Arabidopsis thaliana: one gene and its partners. The protein of the gene in region 4 interacts with the protein of the main gene of each other region in a pairwise test. Each region holds a gene or a part of one and is shown on either strand. Other genes may lie near its edges.

Region 1 (4,237 bases), on a different chromosome or scaffold from region 4:
TTTTTCGATGTGTTAGCGAAGTATGCTCTAGTGTATTTAGCCTAATTAGGTTTTCAACATAAGGTGGGCTAATTATTAGGATGCGTCTAATTTTGGCCAGCGATAAATGACAGTGACCAGCAGCAAAACTTAGTTCATGCTATTGTCGTTGTTTTAAATCTACCACATTTAATATTGCTACTTCTATAATCTTTATCCCCTGGCCTCAAAATAATGTCATCCAATCCAATTTCATTCATCCACACTTGATCTTTTGCATATCAGTCTACATATAGAGTCAAACATAAATTATTGATAGTTCCTTGAAAACAATCTTGAAACTCTTCATAATTTGTTTTTCAAACAAACATTTTGTGTATACTCCACAAATGGATTTTAATCTGTACCTCATTTTTTTCTATGTTCGTCGGCGTACCTAGTTCATCATATGCACCTACTTCCTTGCTTAGACTTCTCGTGGCGGCCACATCTTGTTTTTATCATAAGATGGTCATTTAGCTAAGAAGGTTTGTGATTCAAATCACCGTATATTTCAAGGAAAAAGCACTTGCACTTGTATTTAAGAATCGTTTCTTCTGCTCTTGTATCTTTTTCACACTTTCTGTTTGCAAAAATATAACTAACTTTATTGAACTATTATACAGAACTATTTTATAAGTAACTGTAATATATTGCTTAGTAGCAGAAAAGTAAATACAGAGGTATTGAACTAATTGTGTTACTCTTCCTACATAAATTAAAAAGAGAGAAAATCAACAATATAAAATTGTATGGATACGATTTCATGGAATAAAATTCTTTAGATTGTGGAAAAACTTATATTAGAATCTTTATAGATCGAGCTAGGAATAAAGAAATATGTGGGTAGCAGAACTCATGCAACCTTTAAGAAAGTCATGTGTAATATTATCGATAAATTATGATTAAAAAATGAATAAATTCAAAGGCAAAATCTAAATTAAAAACGATTTTCTACACATGTTTAAATATCTAAACGTGATTAGTTTACTTTATGAATTACCAGTACAATAAATATTTGAGAATTCTTTTAAGTCTTAAACTACACAATTCCAAAATTCCAAATACAGTAAAAGTAAGGGAAAGAAAGTCTTAGGAAGGGTACTTACAAATTTAAGAAGTATTCCTTAATGTTTTCAGTTTTCTAAAAAACTTGTTGTATTTCTTTGATAACGCCTTCATATATATATATATATAATATATATATATGCATATTTTGATCCCAACATATATATATTTAATGTTTTATAAAGCATACTTTGATGCAACATTTCTACAAGTTTTTTTTAGTTCTTATAAAACAGTGGTGTTTCAATTTTATTAGAAATCAGACCAAAAAATGGTTTCAAATTAATATTTGCAAATCGAGATCTTAAACCCCAACAATATGTTCTAAAATTTAAGATATTCGAGCATCACCGAACTGTATTTTTGAATCAGCATTCCTAGTTCCTTGAGAATGAGAATTATAAGAGGATGATGTGAAAGTTTATGGGCAAAAAGTTAAAGATGATGTTCGTGGCTACGACGTGCATTTCTTGTCCCCCAGTATCGAATAAATTGTTAATTTCAAACTCATTTTCGACAATGATTCCTATAAGTACTGAAATGGAATAAGAAGGACCTTGAGGAAGAATTTGATGACAGCTTCTTTTTAACACAAATCAATATTCTTACACACGGACACACCAAACAACATTACAAATTTACAATGACATGCATGGTCATTTTGCAAATTTTTTTCTCGTTTTATTCTAATCTAATTTCGTTCTGTAAAGTTTTATGTAAATGTAAATTAAAGATTTCAGTAAAGACATAAGAGTATCACCATCAATTAGGAAAAAAATAAAAATGAGTTCTCATTAGAAACTCTCCTGCCATGTGACATTTTTATTTTTATAGTAATTAATAGCATTAATATTATATAGGTATTAGATCCTTGAAGTGGATGGTGCATATATTATTTAAACAAAACAAATTTTAACTACTTTTAATTTATAGCGTTGACAATAACTAATTAATCTAAACTAATAAATCAAGTACCTAGGCTACCATTTTTTAATTAGAAAATCGATCCGCCGCGGATTGTTATCCACCCACAAAAATAAAAAATTCGTTTGCAAATGTGATAGGCAAGCTAGTTCCTTGCAACCAGCTATATTTTTATGTAGTGGAGAATATTTAACAACTAACTGGAATTTTAAAAACACAAAGCGAAACTAAATTGGTATAAGCTATATATTCTTGAAAAAATAAAAAAATCAACGGCTAGAACTAAAGAAGGATAGCAAATTGAATCATATTCCTTTGCATTTACTTATTTATTTATAACCAACAAATTAAGTTCTCCGATTAAAAGCTATATAATGCTCCTCCTTGTCTCTCTTCTTTGCATATCAGTATATCACTAGCAAATAAGTGAACACCATTTCTTCATACATACACATTCCGAAGATAATGGGTTCCAATGTTTCATCTGTGCATGATGTTCATTCATCAATGGAAATTACCAGTAATGGATTTGTTGTGGAAATCGAATCAAGAAGACAATGGAAATCTCTCTTTGATTCCATGAAAGGCTCAAACAAATTGGTATACATTACTCGAAAACTACCTAAAACGTATTAAATTTTTTTAACCAAACTTATAATGTTTGTTTTAAATCTTATACTATTTGTGTTTTCTAATTTTGTTTACAAGTAAATGACATGTTTTTTCTCTTAAACTAACTGAAAAAATTATTGTGGTTTTGAAGCTAGTAATTGATTTCACAGCTGTATGGTGTGGACCTTGTAAAGCAATGGAACCTAGAGTTAGGGAGATTGCTTCAAAGTACTCAGAAGCTGTGTTTGCTAGGGTTGATGTGGATAGGCTAATGGTAATTACTCTTTTTTTTTATTACTTGAAGAAGAATCATCTTATGGTTTCAAGACTAAGCTATAATTGGTATGTATTCCAGGATGTGGCTGGGACATATAGAGCTATTACACTTCCAGCTTTTGTTTTTGTGAAGAGAGGAGAAGAGATTGATAGGGTTGTTGGAGCCAAACCTGATGAGCTCGTGAAGAAGATTGAACAACATAGGGTTTAAGTTTTTTCTTTTCCCTTACAAAAAAATGATTATTATACTTTTGAATGTCTGTTCTGAATTGATTGTTTGAAGTTGGGTTTCTGGTTTGTTGTTTAATTTCTCAAAACAATATAAATAATAATGTCAAAAATGAAAACAATTAACAAAAATGTTGTAGTTATATTTGTATGAAATCTAATCACCCCAACGTAAGCAAAACAACATAACAATGGTAATGTGAGTATGGCGACTAAAAGAACTATACCATAAAAAAAAAAAAAAAAGAGTCCCATTCCAAGTATATGTTAAAATACTAAATGGAAAAAAACAAACGTTACATAACATTTTCGAAGAGCTTGTATGAAGTTGAGAGTTACATATATAACTTATGAAAGCAGAATAAATTAGATAACAACAAAGATAGCTTTTACAACAAAAAACAATCAATTCTGCTTACTATTTCGTGATCAAGATATGAGATCAAAAACGAAAACCGATCAATTCTGTATATGTATGTACACTGAATTGACCTTTTGAATTCAAGAGCTTTCTTGAAACTAGTTGCCAATTCAGCTACCACCAAGAACTCTCTTGAGATCTGTCTTCTGTTCCGATGTTAGCCTCGAGGGGAAACATATCTCAAAGTTGATTCTTAGATCTCCTCTCTTTGAACCTTCTTTAGAGATGGGCATTCCTTCACTAGGAATCACTATCTCCTGACCCGGTTTAACGATATCCAAAACCGGGATAGTCAGATTCCTCCCGTCTAGTGTTGTTAAGCTAAGAGTGATCCCTGTTAAAGCCTCCAAAAGCGAAACTTTCTTGTCTACAATAAGATCGTTACCGTCTCTTTTGTAAACCGAATGCGGTTTCTCATCTATAACAAAGATGAGATCTGCGGGAGTAACACCGGGTTCTTGGTTTCCTTTCTCTGGAAAAGTTATCTTAGTTCCTTTCTTCCATCCTGGTGTTATATCTATCTTCAAGATCTCTTCCACTGGCTTTGACTTTCTGATATCAAAACATGAATATATATTGATCACAACCAAAAAAGCAACTAGGCTTAGAAAAATCAAACGTAGCAACAAGAAAATAATTAGGTACATCAATCATCAAACAATATCAACATCACTAGAGATAAAAACGCAA
Region 2 (6,820 bases), on a different chromosome or scaffold from region 4:
TTAGAGATTTGTTTTTGTCTACAACTAATATATAATTAAGCTTTGGAGCCATTGAAAATATTTGGTCGATAAATAATAATCACAAAGTGTACCTCAATCATAGAAATGGAATGCTATGGTCCATATAACTTGAAATATTGTAGTCATAAAATTACGATATCACCTAACGGAAAATAGTCTTAACATTTGAACATAACATGTGTTCAGAGAAGTTATAAATAAGTGTTCAGAGAAGTGATTTTTTATTTCTAAGTTATAAATAAGTGTGAAAAAGTAACTTATGACTAAAAAATATTTTGTGAACTTTTTAATATTATTATTTTTGCAAAACAACGCACTATATATGTACCTCGTACACTCTAATTAGCTCATCCACCACGGTAAAATTTATTTATTATTTTGCATTTTTTATTTGGTTAAGCTGAAACATATCATTATCACCAAGCAATTATATATGTACCGATAACCCATGCTGAGGAAATTTTCTAACCAAACCTTTGGGATCAGAATATATATTAGTAAATAATCATACTTTAACTTAGATTACACTAAAAACTAGTTATCGTTTTAGAGTTTTTTTTGTCTGACGAGATCTCGGATGCTTCGATTACACCTGACTTGTTAGATGGGATGCATGACCACATTTTGGCTAACATGGCGTGCAAACGATGACGTGGAGGCAACTGATTGGCTCCACTGATTCCCACAAATTTGTTGCAAAATCAAAAGTAGGGCCAGACTAATTATATTATTTTTTTGTGGATGTCTATAATATGAAATTTGAATCAATACGTAATTTATCGATTCTTTGTCTAATCGATGTCAACTAAATTTAACAAATTATCTGGAAGTCACTCAACATTTTCCTTGATAATGCTAGTTTCTTCGAATCTTAAATGAGGCAACGCATTGTCCATTGAAATTTTAAGCATATAGTGTATATATGTATTTATTTTTCTAGCAAATTCAAAACGGCCTGGGATCGTTTGGTTTGTAATCAATATATGGGTTTTTTTTGGTCAACAATCAATAATTAGTATTTTTGAGAATTCATGAAATACTGGATGAGTAAATGAGATAATTTTTATGGATGATCACTAGCACATGGTTGCTAACCAGTGAAGCACCTAAAAAATCACTGCAAAAAAGTTTGTAATCAATTTCGTTGCAGCTAAGCAACATTTATGACTAATTTGAGTAAATATTAATTGACGATCCCATGAATTTCACCTAATTGACGAGTCCCTAGATTTGTTTTAGAGTAAATTTTACAACTTCATATACTTTACATTATAATTAACAAACTAAAAAACTCGTAAACCAAATAAGACTTTGTCTAATGGTCCAAGCATGACCTCTCCAAAGATATAATATGTTTTGATATATACGTGATAACCGATCAGATGTTGTATATACATATTAATGTGTATTAATTTCTTCATATAATATTTACAAATTTTTGTGAGAAGATATCAAGTACACGTATATCGAATAAGAAAAGCTAGATTGTGTAAAACGTTACGGGGCTTGTGCATTAACTCACAAGTTGGCTATCACAAGTTTCAAATTGTGGTGTTTAGAGCATCGCAGTTGTCAAACAAAAAAAAAAAAAAAAAAAGAAAGAGTATCACACGTGATTGTTTTCCATAACTATGAGAACTTTTCTGACTATTTTCTTCTTTTGTGCCTTTGTTATGTTTCTTCAATCATTACTTAATTATTAATTACTAATCGATTTTCGTTGCCTGTAGTTTTCACATGTTGTAATCTAGAAAACTGAAAAAGACTTTCCCCATAATAGTCTCTGCTAACTACATACTAGTCCCTATATTTTGCAATTTTAAGTGTTTTTAACCACTATCTTAGAGACTCTAAACATGAGGACCCTAAAAAATAACCATCATCTTAAATTGTACGTAAGAAATATATTCAATCTACATCAGATGATACCAATAAAATTCGGCATATAAGTAGAATTTGAAAGAAACAACAACGTGGGTAGATATGCACCATTTACAACAACAAAAAAGAAAAATCAATTTTGGTCCAACTTTTTCATATACATTTAAATTGTCAATTATCATCATAATTAGTAATACGACAAACTGTCGTATAAACTAGAAAAATACATACATCTACTATCTAAAACGACAGATAAAAATACGTAATCATCAAAAAGAGTTAAAAACAAGTTTTGGGGTTCTCTTAGCAATTTTGTTTTATATGTCTATTTTTATGTAACGCGACAGCTGTAACGTTGTGTCTATATATATACTAACAGAGTTTGTGCTTCGAAATCTTAAGAACTTTCCCAGTTTTGTTTTTTAATCATATCAAAGCAAACTGTGTGATGGATAAGTACAAAGTCGCCGGAAAATTTGGTCTCCCGGACATCACGGTGGCAGAGATGGAATCTTTAGCTAGCTTTTGTGAAGCTGTCTTGCCTTCAGTGCAGCCACCGCCGGAAGAGCTTTCCGGTGAAGGTGATAACCATCGGAACAAAGAGGCTCTCCGGTCATTTTACTCAACTTCTGGGTCTAAAACTCCTGTCCTTCGCCAGGTTCACACACTTTTTCTTTATATTCATCAAATGATCTGTTTTTTTAACAAAATGCTAAAGTTTTGACACTTTCAAACAAAAAAACACAAATCAAGAACGTGTGATATTTGAAGATTTGTTTTGATTTGTTCGATTAGTTAAAAGGATTCGTATTGATCGAGTTCCAATAAAATCCTTGTGGTTCTCTTTTGACTTCTATAGACCTTTTAAATGACAAAAATATCTAGCTCTTTTTGTTTTTTTAACGTGAATATTATTAGTCTAGGTTTCGGTCTAAAATTAATTGCGGTTATTAAAAAGACCTTAAGGTTTTGAGTAAAAAGTGAAAGATTTGTTAATGGATGCAGAGCATTGAGCTGGTCACGAAACGAGGGACAATAGAAGCTTATATTGCTACTAGGCTTATATTGTTCTTGCTTGCTACTCGGCTTGGGACGCTTCTCATTTGTGGAACCGAGTGTTTGGTCTCAAGATGGCCTTTTGTCGAGAAATTTAGTGAGCTCTCGTTGGAGAAGAGAGAAAGAGTACTTCAGAAACAATTCAAGAATTGGATTCTGACTCCAATTAGAGCTGCTTTTGTCTACATCAAAGTTGCATTCCTCTTCTGTTTCTTCTCCCGGGTATGTCTCAAATTCTCTCTGTTTTCTCCAAACCTTATCTCAACCACATAGATTATGTTGTTCTGTCCGGATAAAACAGTCTAGTACAAATCCAAATAATCGAAAACAGAATCGCATGGTTTAAATTCATTTACTTTCTATATAATCCAAAAATTGATTACAAATAGAGCCAAAAAAAACTAGAAAACGTATCAGTTTTATTGTTTTCTAAATTAATGATGATCTCTAAGGAAAAAATCATCCAAATTCATATATACTAAAATTAGAAAATCTTAAACCTGAAACCGTACGTAACGTATTCATATGAGATTTGTTTATAACTAAAATTTACTATTTTACTATACATAAACAATTTGATCCCATTATTAAAAACTTTGATCTTAAATGAGTACCAAGCGATTTAACTAGATCATTTTCTGATTTGGTTACAATAAACCGATCCAAAATTTTGAGAATCGTGAACTAAACCAAAATCCGGATTCAGAGCCTATATTATATATGTTAACTCTGTCGTAAAAACAGAGCTACTTATAGAAAATGTTCAAGAATTTATGGATATGTCGTTTCTTTTGTGTAGGTGAATCCAAATGGCGAAAACCCGGCATGGGAAGCCATAGGGTATCGTGTTAACCCCGATGAGAACAAACCTTCTGAAACTCATAACGAAAGACCACTTGAGAAAGGGATAGTGGAGACGATGGAAGAAACAGAGCAGACTCTTCTTGAATCACTTGCTCATAAAGGCCTAGAAGCGGTTCTTGACACGGAGCATGATGCGATCAGAATAAAATGTGATGTTGTGGTCGTCGGGTCTGGTTCAGGAGGAGGCGTAGCAGCTTCTGTTCTAGCGAAATCTGGTTTAAAAGTGGTTGTTCTTGAAAAAGGAAGCTACTTTACGCCTTCTGAACATCGTCCTTTCGAAGGTCCTGGCTTGGATAAACTCTACGAGAATGGAGGGATTCTCCCGAGTGTTGATGGGAGTTTTATGGTGTTGGCTGGAGCAACTGTAGGTGGTGGATCTGCTGTGAACTGGTCTGCGTGTATCAAAACCCCGAAGTCGGTTCTTCAAGAATGGTCAGAGGATCAAAATATACCTCTTTTCGGTACTAAAGAATATCTAACGGCTATGGAAGTTGTGTGGAAGAGGATGGGTGTCACGGAGAAATGTGAACTGGAGAGTTTTCAGAATCAGATTCTGAGAAAAGGTTGCGAAAATCTCGGGTTCAATGTTGAAAACGTGCCAAGAAACTCCTCGGAGAGTCATTACTGTGGATCTTGCGGGTATGGATGTAGACAAGGAGACAAGAAAGGAAGTGACCGGACTTGGCTTGTCGATGCGGTGGGGCACGGTGCCGTGATTCTTACTGGATGTAAAGCGGAGAGATTCATACTCGAAAAGAACGGTAGTAACAAAGGAGGCAAGCAAATGAAATGTTTGGGAGTGATGGCTAAATCTTTAAACGGAAACATAGCAAAGATGTTAAAGATTGAAGCTAAAGTAACGGTTTCAGCAGGGGGTGCTCTTTTAACACCTCCGTTGATGATATCTAGCGGGTTGAGAAACCGAAACATCGGTAAAAACCTTCACTTACACCCTGTTTTAATGGCGTGGGGTTACTTCCCGGACAAGGAATCTTCTAACATCAGTTTCAAGGGAAATTCATATGAAGGCGGGATCATAACATCAGTGAGCAAAGTGTTATCAGAAGATTCTGAAGTCAGAGCAATCATAGAGACACCGCAACTAGGACCAGGTTCGTTCTCCGTTTTAACTCCTTGGACCTCTGGGCTTGACATGAAGAAAAGAATGGCTAGATACTCAAGAACCGCGAGTCTCATAACCATAGTTAGAGACCGCGGGTCAGGAGAAGTTAAAACCGAAGGCAGAATAAACTACACCGTGGACAAAACCGACAGAGATAATCTCAAAGCTGGGCTTAGAGAGTCGCTAAGGATACTAATAGCAGCTGGAGCAGAGGAAGTGGGAACTCACAGAAGCGACGGGCAGAGACTAATATGCAAAGGTGTCAATGAGAATTCGATCCAAGAGTTTTTAGACTCGGTGAGTACAGAGGAAGGAGCAAAGGGAATGACTGAGAAATGGAACGTTTATAGCTCAGCTCATCAGATGGGAAGCTGTAGAATTGGAGAAAATGAAAAAGAAGGTGCAATAGATTTGAATGGAGAGAGTTGGGAAGCAGAGAAGTTGTTTGTGTGCGATGCAAGTGCGTTGCCTAGTGCTGTTGGTGTTAACCCTATGATCACAGTCATGTCTACGGCTTATTGTATCTCCACAAGAATCGCTAAGTCCATGACCACTGGTTTATCTCATTGAACTAAAATAACGTATACTTTCTATTCATCCTAATCAAATTTATGTGTAACCAACATGATAATTCATAGTTAAAGACTCTTCTATTGATCATGTCTACTAATAAAATCCATGTTTTGGAAACGTTATATTTATTCATCTAATTAGAGTGTTATAAAATATTGGACTAATCAAGTTGCAGTGAACTTGGAACATAAGAGCACACAAGTGGTCGGAGATTTTGGTTTGGAGATTCTCCAAGATCCACTTCTTCAAGGATCCATCCTCTCCAACGATGTAAGCTGCATTGCACATCAACTACTTCTTTTTGCCTTTATCAAAAACCACTGCAACTTTCTTCTCCTCATCAATGAAGAAACTTGCATCACTAAACGAAAACATAGAGTAACGGCCGGTGAGTTCTCTCATATCCACTGATAAGAAGAACTTGCTGCTCCATGACACCGTGTTGGGCTCAATCTTAGTTGTAACCCAGATCTCCATCTGTAATGTATCCATACGCTGAAATAACACCGCAAGCTGCTCATCTCTAACATTAGATAATAACAGAGAACTCTTGAAGATACCACTCAAAGGGCGGCGAAGGCAAACCGCGGCCCAAATGTCTCCCTTGTGAAATCAAAACAGAGTAAGAAACTATGGTCTCCTTGTCTTGGGATTTCTGAATATGCCTCTTCAGCAAGCCAATATGTATTTCCTTTGAGAGAGGCACCAGACACAAAACGGTTATAGTAACCTATGTTCCAGTCTCGAGATTGACCCTCCATGAGTCAGAGTTAAAGTCGTAGATTTTGAACTCAGCAGAAGTGGAGGAGACATAATCAAACATCATACCAAAACTCAAGATTTTGTGGGATTTGGTACTGCTATTGTATCCGAGAGCATACGAATATGCATCTAATCTCTGAGGATTATTTGTAGTCTCGATCCACCGGGTTTGTCCACTATACGGGTTACAAACCACAAGCCTAGGGTTGTCTTTCATGATGCATAACAATAAACCGTCGCAGTGAAAGACGTGACGGACGTAAATTTGATCTGAAGCGTCGGGGAAAAGAAGTTCACGTTCACGCTTTATACACAATTCAACGTTGTTCTGAAGATTTATGCGCATCAAATAAACCCTAAAATCCATCATCATGACCACCTTATACTCTCTTTTCTTTGCAGCTACTTTTGCTTGACAAACAAGGTGCTTCTTTGCAAAGCTCCTACATCTAGATAAAGTGTTCCACTTTTTGCAAGTAAATCGGAGTCTTCTTAGAGATGTCATCGGAACCCTAGAAAGCACCTCCTCCGCCATATTCC
Region 3 (4,688 bases), on a different chromosome or scaffold from region 4:
TGTGCGCATCTTGTTGCAGGTAAATCTAATTCTTAATGACTGCTTGCAAGTTACTTTGTGCAATCTAACTGAACTTTTTCCTGGTGCAGATTGCTCAAAGGAATAGCTTAGACGTGGATGTTGACTTAGCCCTTGGTTTTGCCTCGCATTATAGTAAAATCGAAACGATGGATTGCCTTGTAGAAGAAGGTCATGCAATTGCTTTCTTGGGTCCCTTGATGAGAGCAGCGGAGAGAGGTTGCATGCAAGTTGTTCAATGGTTTGTGAAACGAGGCTGTCGTGAAATGGAGCTATGCTTAGCTCTCACAGCCGCCACTTCAAGCAGCCAGGTTGAGGTTGCTGCTTATCTCCTTCCTCATGTTCCAAGACCCGTCCTTACTGCTCTCAGCATTGAAATCCTCAAAGCAGCCGGTGAAAGAAGTGGTGGTTCCCTCCACGGAGTAGAGTTTCTCCTTAAATCAGATTTCCTCGGGGATCCAGCAGCCACATATTCAGTTGCAGACACCATTGCAAAGTCAGAAGACGAGTCTGTTCCTTCCGACCTCAAATCGTTTCTCCAAGAACAGTGGTCAGAAGCTGCATTCAACCAAGGATTGAAGGAAAGCCGGGAAAATTACATGAATTTCATGAGAGTTTTGAAACTCGGAGAGTCTGCAATAAGTCTAAAGGATCTCCCAGCACCATTGAGAGTGGCAATCGCCTACATGCCACTGTACAGAGAGTGTGTGGATGCGGGTGGCCGGCTGCTCTCACAAAAGCTAAGAGGACAGCTCGTGGAAGCTGCAACACAGCTTGAAGGCTTCGATGTAGACACAGAAGAAGTAAAGAAAGGTCATCATCAGCTCATGACCATCTTGGAGCATCACCTTCCTCTTTTTTTGGTCAAAGCTTCTTTACACTGAGCAACAATGGATTCAGCATCTGAGTTAACACAACTCGTTTTAAATAGTTGATAAAATAAGAACTGAAAAACAACCATTCCACTATAGTTATGGATTCTGATCCAGGTTGTGAGATGATGAAAAAGGGTTCTTGTAGACTTGTACAAACTTGCTATGAGAATGTCTTTGTCAAAAGTCTCTCTATCTGTCTTTTATGCATCCTAAACCATGGGAGAGATAATCAAAGCCTTTTATATTATTTCATCTACATATTATTTCACTTCTTCTGTCTCAGACTCTTATTGGTCTCCTCTCCTGTAATGAAAGCCTTTCAATTTCTTACATTTTGTACCAATCTCTCATCCTGGTTTTGCTTCAGACCATGAGAAAAATGAAATCATGAAACTATTAATCATTCTTTATTTATATAAATAGTTGTATAATTCTGCATCAAGAAAACAAGTTTTACAAATGAAATATTAATCTCTTACCCTGAAACCTTATGTAATGACAATAGACAAAACCTCCCTTTGTTTAAGGATTTCTTTCTTCAATTAAAGAAACGTTTATTACATAAAAGTGGAAGAAGAAGAAACATGTTTGGAATTAGAAGAAGGCATGAAAGCAAGAACCATAAGCAAAACCATAATCCCAATAGGAATCAAAAGCAGCATAAAAGGAGGAGGAGGCAATGGTGGAAGAATCAACGGTAAGATCAAGAGAGATGCTGTGAGACCAACAAGCACAACCATTGATTCTAAACTGAAGTAACTCGCTGATATTAGCCTCCTTGGACTGTTCTGCGACGACAATGTCCGAAACAATTCTTGCTTCCCCATAATCGGAGCTGGAGCTGAACCACGAAAACTCGTGTTTTTCCGGTTATGATCTCCTCTCACGTCCATGTTGTTGTTGAGAGAATAATGTTCTTGAATGTTTATGATGTCGTTTTGTAGACTGGAGAACTCACGAATCATTTAAAGAAGGCTTTTTCTCTTTTCGAAGTTTGATCTGGAAAATCAGATCGATGTATGAAGAAGAAACTTGAGTTTGTTTATCCAAACGCATAAAAAGTAACGAACTTTTCTTCTTCTTCTTCTTCTGTAAATGTAGTTTGGTTGAAGAACCCTGACGATGAAATGATTATCCCGAAATGCAGACAAAATCTAAGGTTTAGAACGAGTGATCTTGGCGTTTCCAGACCTAAAAGGACTAATCTTTTTTTTTTGCCGGTAGAGAGAAAAGATTCAATTGGTGTTTCAAGAAAGCTGCAAGAGAAAATTTGTCCAAGTTTTGATCAGTAAATCGTTGTGATTCAATCAAAAACATGAGCAGAGAATGAATCAAAAGAATCGAAAGTAAGTACCTTTAAACCGTTAGAGCCAAACACACCTTCAGCGAGAAGAAGATGAAGATTGAACGTTGGAAACCAAAAACAGGGTGTTAAAGCTTAAATACAGAGGAAGACGAAGAAAGTTTCTTTTGGTAAGAAAACCAGAGAAGAAGAAATAAAGTGGGAGTGGTTTTGATAAAAGGAATTGGTATAAAAATAGATGGTAAAAGATAATGAGAGAAATAAATATAATGTTTTTGGGGTTAAGACTGTGGAATCAGAGAAGAAACAGGAAACAGAGGAAGGTTCACTGAATTTACAGATTTTTCTAAAATGATAAGATTTTAATTTTAATGTTTTTTTTCTCTTTTGGGGGTGACAAGTGTGAGAGGCAAGTTGCTGCTTATTCTGGAAGGTCTGAACAAAATTGAAATCTCTCTATTTGATTACTTTACACTTCTCTCTCTCTTTCCACAATCACAGTGGTTCTTCTCCCCTAGACACTTTCTCTGATGATGACGTGGGATGGAATTTATTTGGGGTAAGCCTCTGTTTGAGATGGAGGTTTCAGTTTCTTTTGGAATATTCAATGGTGGTTTTTAATTAAAACGAATCCAAACTTTTATAACGTTGATCGTGTATTATTGTAGACTATAGTCAAAGTTGTTTGGTTGAAATAAATAAAGCAGTATCAGTCATTAATAATACTAGAAACAAATAATTAAAGATAAGATAAATATTTTAGGTTATCACAAATAATCTTTGTTCTATATGATAATGTTTTGTTTGTTTTATATAATCATTTAGAGTTGTAATCTATTGAAACTATGGACGGGGAAACGTACTAATTAAAGATTCGAATTCCTCGCGCACAAAAAATTGAATATGAGAAGTGATAGCAATAATCAATAGATTGAATTCGGTGAATTACCAAATTAGTTTGACAAATATATTCAACATTTATCACTTTTTTTTTGTCATAGAACTGTATAATATGTATATGTATATGTGTGTGAATTAATTAAATTTTCCAACCTAATAATAATGTTGTCTATGTGTTATCGACCGATGATGACCCATATTGTTATTCCTCTCGGCATTTCATGTGGTGGCTATATCATATTATCGTTTTTAGTGGGACAGTTGGTCCAATATTTATTTCTCTTTCGTTTTATGCTTTTAATAGTCAGAAGAAATGCCAACTTAAATTTATATAATTAGGGAATTTTGTATTTTACATGATACATAAAGGATACATAAGTGGTCTTATTATTATTATTATTATTTATTTTAAAAAGGGCTAGGTGTTGTTTAGTATGATTTAAACAAAAAAGTGATATAGTATTAAATATCGTACTATATTAAAAATGCTATTTGTTAAAAATACAAGACAGCTTATTATTTTTAAAAACACATAAAATAATATATTAAGATTTTTTTTTTTTCATTCATTATCTTTCAGGTAAACCGATATAATTTATTTGTTTAACAGCCTAAAAATGTAATAATTAAAATATCTAATGGATATATTCATAAGTACTTTTCGTTGGGTGTTTAATTAAGAGGGACATGATAATTTTCGCAAGCAGTTTAGTTTCAGCCGTTCTGGTATTAACCAATTGACAGCTTACCAAAATCCACTACTCATTTTTTATTTTTTTTTCAATCCAAAATACTTATTTATCCAAATTCAATGAATCGCATGTATAACATCTATTGATTACGTCTTTTCTACTTTTTTTTACAAAGGAGAAATGGTTTTATTCGTCAACTACTAGCTAAACTCCCAATGGAAATGACATTACTATTCTACAATTATAATGGCTCAAGTAGACATAATTACAACAAAACTTCACCTCCCGCTTTAAACAAAAACAAAACTTAATTAACGTCAATAAAAAGATGATGCAGACTTTTAAATTGTTAGAACAAAGTTTAACAACTATATATAACTGATCAGTTATATAAATAGCATATACACCATAGTGATATCTTCCCGATCTTAAAAGATATTCAAATTATCTTGTGGATATGTACTTGATTCGATATCTTTGATTTTTTGTATTCATGATCTTATGGTTAGGATCGATGCCACCAGTTCCTATGTAAACAAATAGATAATATGTAGGTAAATAACATTGCTTATACCAATCTAAATGTCAGTTAAGAATATATTGATACATATGTTTATAATGCCTTACAGATTTATAGAAAACCCATATTTGATTATAGTGATATATATAAGAACGTATACAGAGAGCGCAATCTCTTATCCAAATCAGAAAAAGATTTCAATTCGTAGCCAAAACCAAGAAAGATATAAGATATAGGTGAACTATAGGAGGGTGTTTTTTTTACTCGTAATTCCTTGGATTCTATTGGTTAATCCATCATCCATAGTGTGTGTATATTTAATTTTTAGAAAATTAGAAAGAAAAAAATTGTAGAAAGGGAAAGCTATATAGAAATGGCAA
Region 4 (6,174 bases):
AATCTCTTCTTCTTATGGAGAGTTGAACATTACTTGTGTTGCTATGTAGAAGGAACATTGAAGTGGAAGAGCCATGAGATAACAAATGCAAAGACCATACAAGCTAAAAGGAAATTCAAGAACCGGTGACCTTGCCAGAAGCTTCTACCTTCCACCAATCGTGGACCAGATGTTCTCAGAGTTAGATTCTCTACACCATTTGCTTCATTCCGGCTTTCCTCAGACTCCACCTCAACACTTCCAACAACATTACCCGCAATCGACCCACAAACTTCACAGATTCTGCAAAGCAAAACCAAACCATGAATCTCATCACAAAGAAAGAAAAAGCTAAGCTTTGCGTCTCTCATCTGACAACAAATGGCCTCAAAACTGAAACTTCTCAAAAAGACAGTCAAAAGAAAGCTGTTCAATAACCAAAAGTGACAATAACCTAAAGAAAGTAAAAAACTTTCCTACATCAATGGAAATGTTAGTCATTTAGCCTTTCCTAAACTATCTTAAAGCTTAGATTTTTACGTACTCCTAATGGAAGTAACCACCAAACAACCATTCTCAAGAAATATGGAGATTTTGAACTTACTTGTTTCCTTTGATCTTGAACCAAGTCTCAGCACAGTGTTTATGAGCAGCAGCGAGATCAGCTTTACAAGAACAGCCAAGCTCAATGGGAACACCAGATTCAAGATTCGCTGCATCTAAGCTCATGTGACAAATCCTGCAATCTCTCTCAGATTGCGACAAATGTACAACTTTCTCAGGCAATCCAAGCTCCAGATCTATTTCCACCGAACACACCGACGCATTGGATCTCCTCTCCTCATCTTTCACTATTTCTTCCTCCTTCTCCACCGCACCGGAGCTCCGACGAGGCTCTCCATCGCCATCACAGCCACTTGAGCTATTGATTACTTTAACAGAGACAAAGGTCTCGAGATGTGGCTGTACGGATTCCATATTCGTATAGACCCGGATGACGAATCCTCATATAAATTATGAAAACGAGACTTGTGAAGATGATGAATGATGATGATCAATGCTTTGCAGCGCAGAGAGAGAGAGAAAAAAAGAGATTTCTGGTTGAAACTTTACAGTAAAATTACATGATTGCCACTGGGTTTTGGAGTTAAGTGATCGTCAGATTCTCAGACAAAACTATTAACTCTCTCCTCTCACTTGTTCACCTGGACACCTAGACAGACCCACCTCTAATAAATCTACTATTTTTTGGATCATTACTGTCAATTTAATTTTTTGGATATGAATACCTAACCTAATTGATGTATTTCTATTATATTTTGGGTTATTTAAGCAACTTTTAGTCTTTTTTTTTTTTGGGAACAAAAAGCAACTTTTACTTTCTTATTTACTTCACAAAAACTTCTAGTGATTTCATGACTATTTTAGGTTATTCAACATAAATTAATGTAAATTATAATTTTTTTTGTAAAGTTAGCTCATTATATATAAATAAATTATAAGTTCTAGAAAATGCAATATCATGATTAAGAAAATCTTCATGATGAATTCGTCTAACATAAATTTCCTAACAATTTTCTACTCAATGTTTATAATCATCTTTATAGTATTAATATCTTTGATAGGCTGTGAAACTCTACAACATGATGGAAAAGTATTTCCAATGAAAGGTCCTCTTACTAGGGTTGTGATTTATAATGACAATGATTATCTTTTAGGAGTTCATTGTAAATCAAGAGATGATGATCATGGCTTCCATATTCTACAAAAAGGTGGATTATATGGTTGGATGTTTTACGTGAATTTTATGAATTCGACACTCTACTTCTGTGGATTTAGCCAAGAACAAGTAAAAAAAGGTGTGTTCGATATTTATAAAGCGGTTAGAGATTCTTCTAGATGTAGAAATTGTACTTGGGAAGCAAAGGAAGATGGTATTTATGGATATGGCGAGATTCCTAAGAAAAATCCTTTGTTTTATAAGTGGCTAATGTAATGTGAAATTGAGTGGTTATAAAATCAAATTTGAATCTAAATGATTCATATGCAAATTTCATTGTTATTTATACGAGTTGTAATTCATCTTCACAAGTTGTAACGGCTAATAACATCAAGCCCAAATGCAGATGATCCTACCATTGTTTTGACTTAAGAATCGAGCATCGATTCTAAACTATTGTATATTACATAATTTCCCTTTGCTACACCACTAATAAAGCTTTTATTGGTCTTCTACCACTAGACTTAACACCCACTTTGTCAAAAACGTTTGCTAAATTTATTCAACTTCATCATAATTCTGCCAAACTTCTGCTACTTAGATAAGCTTTTCTCTGAATAGTTCGTATTTTTAGAAAAATTAATGTAAAATCGATTGCCTAACTAACCAAACGCTTTGTTAATTACAATTAGATTCGTGGTCGATTTACTTAGTCAATTAAATATGCTCAGAACTGAAATGTTTCGTTAGCTAGGAATTTTCAAGGATTAGTATATGAACGTAAATCATTAAATTTAGAACTCAGATTCGGTAATAACCAATAACAAAGTCAATGGCTCCTTTCCTTCATTGTTACACATCTTCACACTTTGATTTTTCAAGTAACCAAACAAAAAAAACTTTAGCCCAAAGAAACATTACATAACGCACCAATTATAATATCATGAAACTGAAAGAAAAAATAAATTAGTTAAAAAAGGAAAGAGAAGTGTTGTTGCAGCTTTAGCCCAAAGATCTCTCCTTTTTGCAGAGCTTCTTCTTCTTCTTCTCCAAAAATCCCAACTTTCTTCTCTTTCCCGGTTTCTTCGTCTCCAGCATTTTCGCGTGTTGTAACCTAATCCAAATCTTACCCATTGATGGAATAACATCATCACGACGCGTCAAAATTCTGTATCGGAGGACCGAGAGATCTCCATCTCCTGTCCAGATTCGATTCCCACCAATCCCAATTTCGTGAAATTCGTTAGGGTTTTAGTTTGAATCTCATCTCATCAGATCGAGTCGACCCAGGATTAGGAAGAAGAAAAGCGATGAAGATGGCGACGAATGGCCGGTTTTTCACAATCGGGCTAGTCGCGTCTTGGTACTCATCGAACATTGGTGTATTGTTGCTGAACAAGTACTTGCTTAGCAATTACGGATTCAAGTACCCGATCTTTCTCACCATGTGTCACATGACGGCTTGTTCGTTACTCAGCTACGTCGCCATTGCTTGGTTGAAGATGGTTCCGATGCAGACGATTCGATCCAGAGTTCAGTTCTTTAAGATCGCAGCTCTAAGTCTCGTTTTTTGTGTGTCGGTGGTCTTTGGTAACATCTCTCTCCGCTTTCTTCCTGTTTCGTTTAACCAAGCCATTGGTGCTACGACGCCGTTTTTCACCGCCGTGTTTGCTTACCTGATGACGCGTAAGAAAGAGGCTTGGTTGACTTACTTCACTCTCGTCCCTGTCGTCACCGGAGTTGTTATTGCTAGTGGGGTATTTTCACTTCTTTTGACCTCTTAAATTTGAATCCCTTATGTATGCTTTTGGATGAGTTGTTAGAGAGGTTGATGTAGATGTGATGTAGGAGCAATGAACTAGATATGTTGGGAACATAGGTATGGTTCTGGAGCAATGAACGTGATATCGTTGATTCAGTTTCATGTTTGGCCAATGATGCTAGCTTTTATCTTTGTGACAAGCTCAGACATTGTTGAATTATGCTTCACATGAGAAAATTTGGTATTGTTTTGTGCTTGTATTCGCTAGATTTTGTGTTTCTCTCATCTTCTCTTAACCATGTGAACTTTATGCTAAAAAAGTTCGAGTAATGGAGATTTTGTTCTGTTTGTGTGTGTGATGTGTTTGATTCTATGCTTGATATTCTTTAATTTATGGGTGTTGTCAGGGTGAGCCAAGCTTTCACCTGTTTGGATTCCTTATGTGCATTGCAGCAACAGCTGCGAGAGCACTTAAATCAGTGCTTCAAGGAATTTTGCTTTCTTCTGAAGGGTAAGAAATGGCTGGTATTGTTGTAGTCGCCTTGTTAGAGGTCTATATATCAATAGTTCAAGTATTTATATGAGTGTTGCTTAAAAGATTCTAAATATTGTATTGAAGGGAAAAGCTGAACTCCATGAATCTCCTCCTTTACATGGCTCCAATAGCTGTCGTGCTCCTTCTGCCTGCTACTCTTATCATGGAGAAAAATGTTGTCGGCATTACAATTGCACTTGCAAGAGATGATTTCAGAATCGTTTGGTATCTTCTATTCAATTCAGCGCTCGCCTATTTAGTCAACTTGACAAATTTCTTAGTCACAAACCACACTAGCGCCCTGACTTTACAGGTGATTACAGTTCACATTCCTTTTACATTCTTAGTGGCATCATTGTTTATGGTAGAAAAAATGATACGGGTTTTGGTTGGAGTTGAAAGAAAGTTAGTCCAAGGAAGTGTAGAACTAGTGAGAAACGATTATCTGCTTGGTCCTCCTGTTAGTGAGATCCTGTCATTTGTATTGGATGTTGAGTTGGGTTTGCTTTTTTTATGTGTATGATAATGCTTGATGTTCCCTGCGTTTCAAAACGAACTTTTGAGATATGATTCACATAAACTCATAAAACGTCGTTTTGGATCGCTCTGTGATAGGTGCTAGGAAACGCCAAAGGAGCAGTAGCAGTGGTGGTCTCTATTCTAATCTTCAAGAATCCGGTGTCAGTGACCGGAATGCTGGGTTACTCCCTCACCGTCTGTGGAGTTATCCTGTACAGCGAAGCCAAGAAACGAAACAAAAATTAGAACACTAAACACACACAAAGCTTTTACTTCTTCTTCATCATTCCCCCCTATATATATGTTTTATATTTTCTCCCCTATGGATATACAGGCAAGTAGTCTCTTTTGCTGGGCCAAACTGACTCTTGTCTTAATGAAAAGCTGGGCCAAAAACATCTCTTTTTTTTGGCAGAAACAGAGAAGCAAAGCCACACAAAGATTGATTACCAAAGGCAAGAATTTAGAGAACTTCCTCCTATGAATAAGTAACCTTTTTGTTTTTCATTTTTGTTCTTTCTTCTCGGATTCTCTTGCCTTTCCTCTGTAGGTTGTTTGTTGAATTAGGTTTGTTTCTTCGATTCTTTACATTTTAGTTTTGTGATGTCAACATTTTACAACAACACGGATTGATTCATTTAATCGAAAGAGAGAAAGTTCCTTCTATCTTCTTCTTAAAATCCATTTTCTCAATGTTTATCTGAGAATTCAATTCAATATTAAGCTATCTCAAGGTTCCTGAGTTGTTCAGATCAAATAGCTGTGTAGTGGCAGAGCAGAGAATCAGAATAGGAAGTGATAACAGTTTGCAGAAGAAATATCTAAAAGAGAGAAAGGAGACAAGAGAGTTATTTTTACTTATGAAGAAGACATAGTCTTGTCTTTGTCTATAGTCTTTGTCTTGTCAAATCACTCGCTTCATTTTCTTTATCTGGTAACGGCAGCCATTATCATATCAAGCCGTAGATCCGGATTCACTGCAGCATATCTCACTTTCATGAATCTAATCCACACATTACCAAGTAGGCCATTCCAAATATATGTCGTAAATTTTCAGGATTGTTTGACCCAAAATGTGTAAAGAACACACTCTATGTAGTGTTTTTAAACCTCCTTGCTAAAACATGGTTTCTTCGAAGCATGAGTGTGATGGAGAAAGACTCCACGTAGTCATGGTACCAAAACTTGTAATGTGACAATAATATTAACTCTCTCGACAGGGAAAAGAAAAAAAAAGCAAGAGTAAAATTTTCAGGAGATAGAGAGAGGAAAAAGCCAAAATGGGGTCGGAGAGAGATATAGGAGTAAATTGGTTAATATAATAGACTTACAAGTCAGACAAAAAAGCTGAAAAGAAACCAAAAAAGGCTTGATTAAGCTTGGAGACTGTGACAGTTGAGTTTTTGAGTGTCTAGAAACTCTTTCAAGTACTCGAGTGGGCTTTTCATGAAGAAGCTAAGGAACAAGAATTGCGAAAAGTAATAGAGATTGAAAAAGGGAGGACGATAATGATGAGGACCATGTACACACACGTATCAACTCTTTTTATCCCAAGGACTCTCATTCTATGAACCAATGGATTCACTCGACACTTTCCATGATTTTTTTCATGCAAAGATTGTTACCATTTTGATTAAATTTAAATTTCTAATTTTGGAG

What was found.
Region 1: the proteins of AT5G05820 (region 4) and TH7 interact in a protein complementation assay, tested with the Arabidopsis thaliana proteins (one large-scale study listed by BioGRID).
Region 2: the proteins of AT5G05820 (region 4) and FAO3 interact in a protein complementation assay, tested with the Arabidopsis thaliana proteins (one large-scale study listed by BioGRID).
Region 3: the proteins of AT5G05820 (region 4) and ARL interact in a protein complementation assay, tested with the Arabidopsis thaliana proteins (one large-scale study listed by BioGRID).

What each region holds. Positions count from the first base shown.
Region 1 is NC_003070.9:21,951,631-21,955,867, reverse strand, and holds TH7 (thioredoxin H-type 7), read left to right. Parts: upstream 1-2,387; 5' UTR 2,388-2,475; coding exon 2,476-2,610; intron 2,611-2,773; coding exon 2,774-2,896; intron 2,897-2,977; coding exon 2,978-3,109; 3' UTR 3,110-3,271; downstream 3,272-4,237. Other genes in the region: AT1G59725 (DNAJ heat shock family protein), read right to left, coding at 3,658-4,099. UniProt on the Arabidopsis thaliana protein: Probable thiol-disulfide oxidoreductase that may be involved in the redox regulation of a number of cytosolic enzymes.
Region 2 is NC_003074.8:8,380,510-8,387,329, forward strand, and holds FAO3 (fatty alcohol oxidase 3), read left to right. Parts: upstream 1-2,162; 5' UTR 2,163-2,350; coding exon 2,351-2,560; intron 2,561-2,821; exon of another isoform or gene 2,822-2,901; coding exon of another isoform or gene 2,902-2,907; coding exon 2,908-3,180; intron 3,181-3,757; coding exon 3,758-5,515; 3' UTR 5,516-5,672; downstream 5,673-6,820. Other genes in the region: AT3G23420 (F-box and associated interaction domains-containing protein), read right to left, coding at 5,764-5,793, 5,837-6,121, 6,273-6,815. UniProt on the Arabidopsis thaliana protein: Long-chain fatty alcohol oxidase involved in the omega-oxidation pathway of lipid degradation.
Region 3 is NC_003071.7:18,234,896-18,239,583, reverse strand, and holds ARL (ARGOS-like protein), read right to left. Parts: upstream 2,796-4,688; 5' UTR 2,248-2,795; intron 2,150-2,247; 5' UTR 1,859-2,149; coding exon 1,451-1,858; 3' UTR 1,411-1,450; downstream 1-1,410. Other genes in the region: AT2G44090 (Ankyrin repeat family protein), read left to right, coding at 1-19, 90-902. UniProt on the Arabidopsis thaliana protein: Promotes cell expansion-dependent organ growth, probably via a brassinosteroids signaling pathway. Acts downstream of BRI1.
Region 4 is NC_003076.8:1,750,693-1,756,866, reverse strand, and holds AT5G05820 (Nucleotide-sugar transporter family protein), read left to right. Parts: upstream 1-2,505; 5' UTR 2,506-3,009; coding exon 3,010-3,456; intron 3,457-3,868; coding exon 3,869-3,972; intron 3,973-4,080; coding exon 4,081-4,309; intron 4,310-4,611; coding exon 4,612-4,761; 3' UTR 4,762-5,181; downstream 5,182-6,174. Other genes in the region: AT5G05830 (RING/FYVE/PHD zinc finger superfamily protein), read right to left, coding at 42-282, 584-957.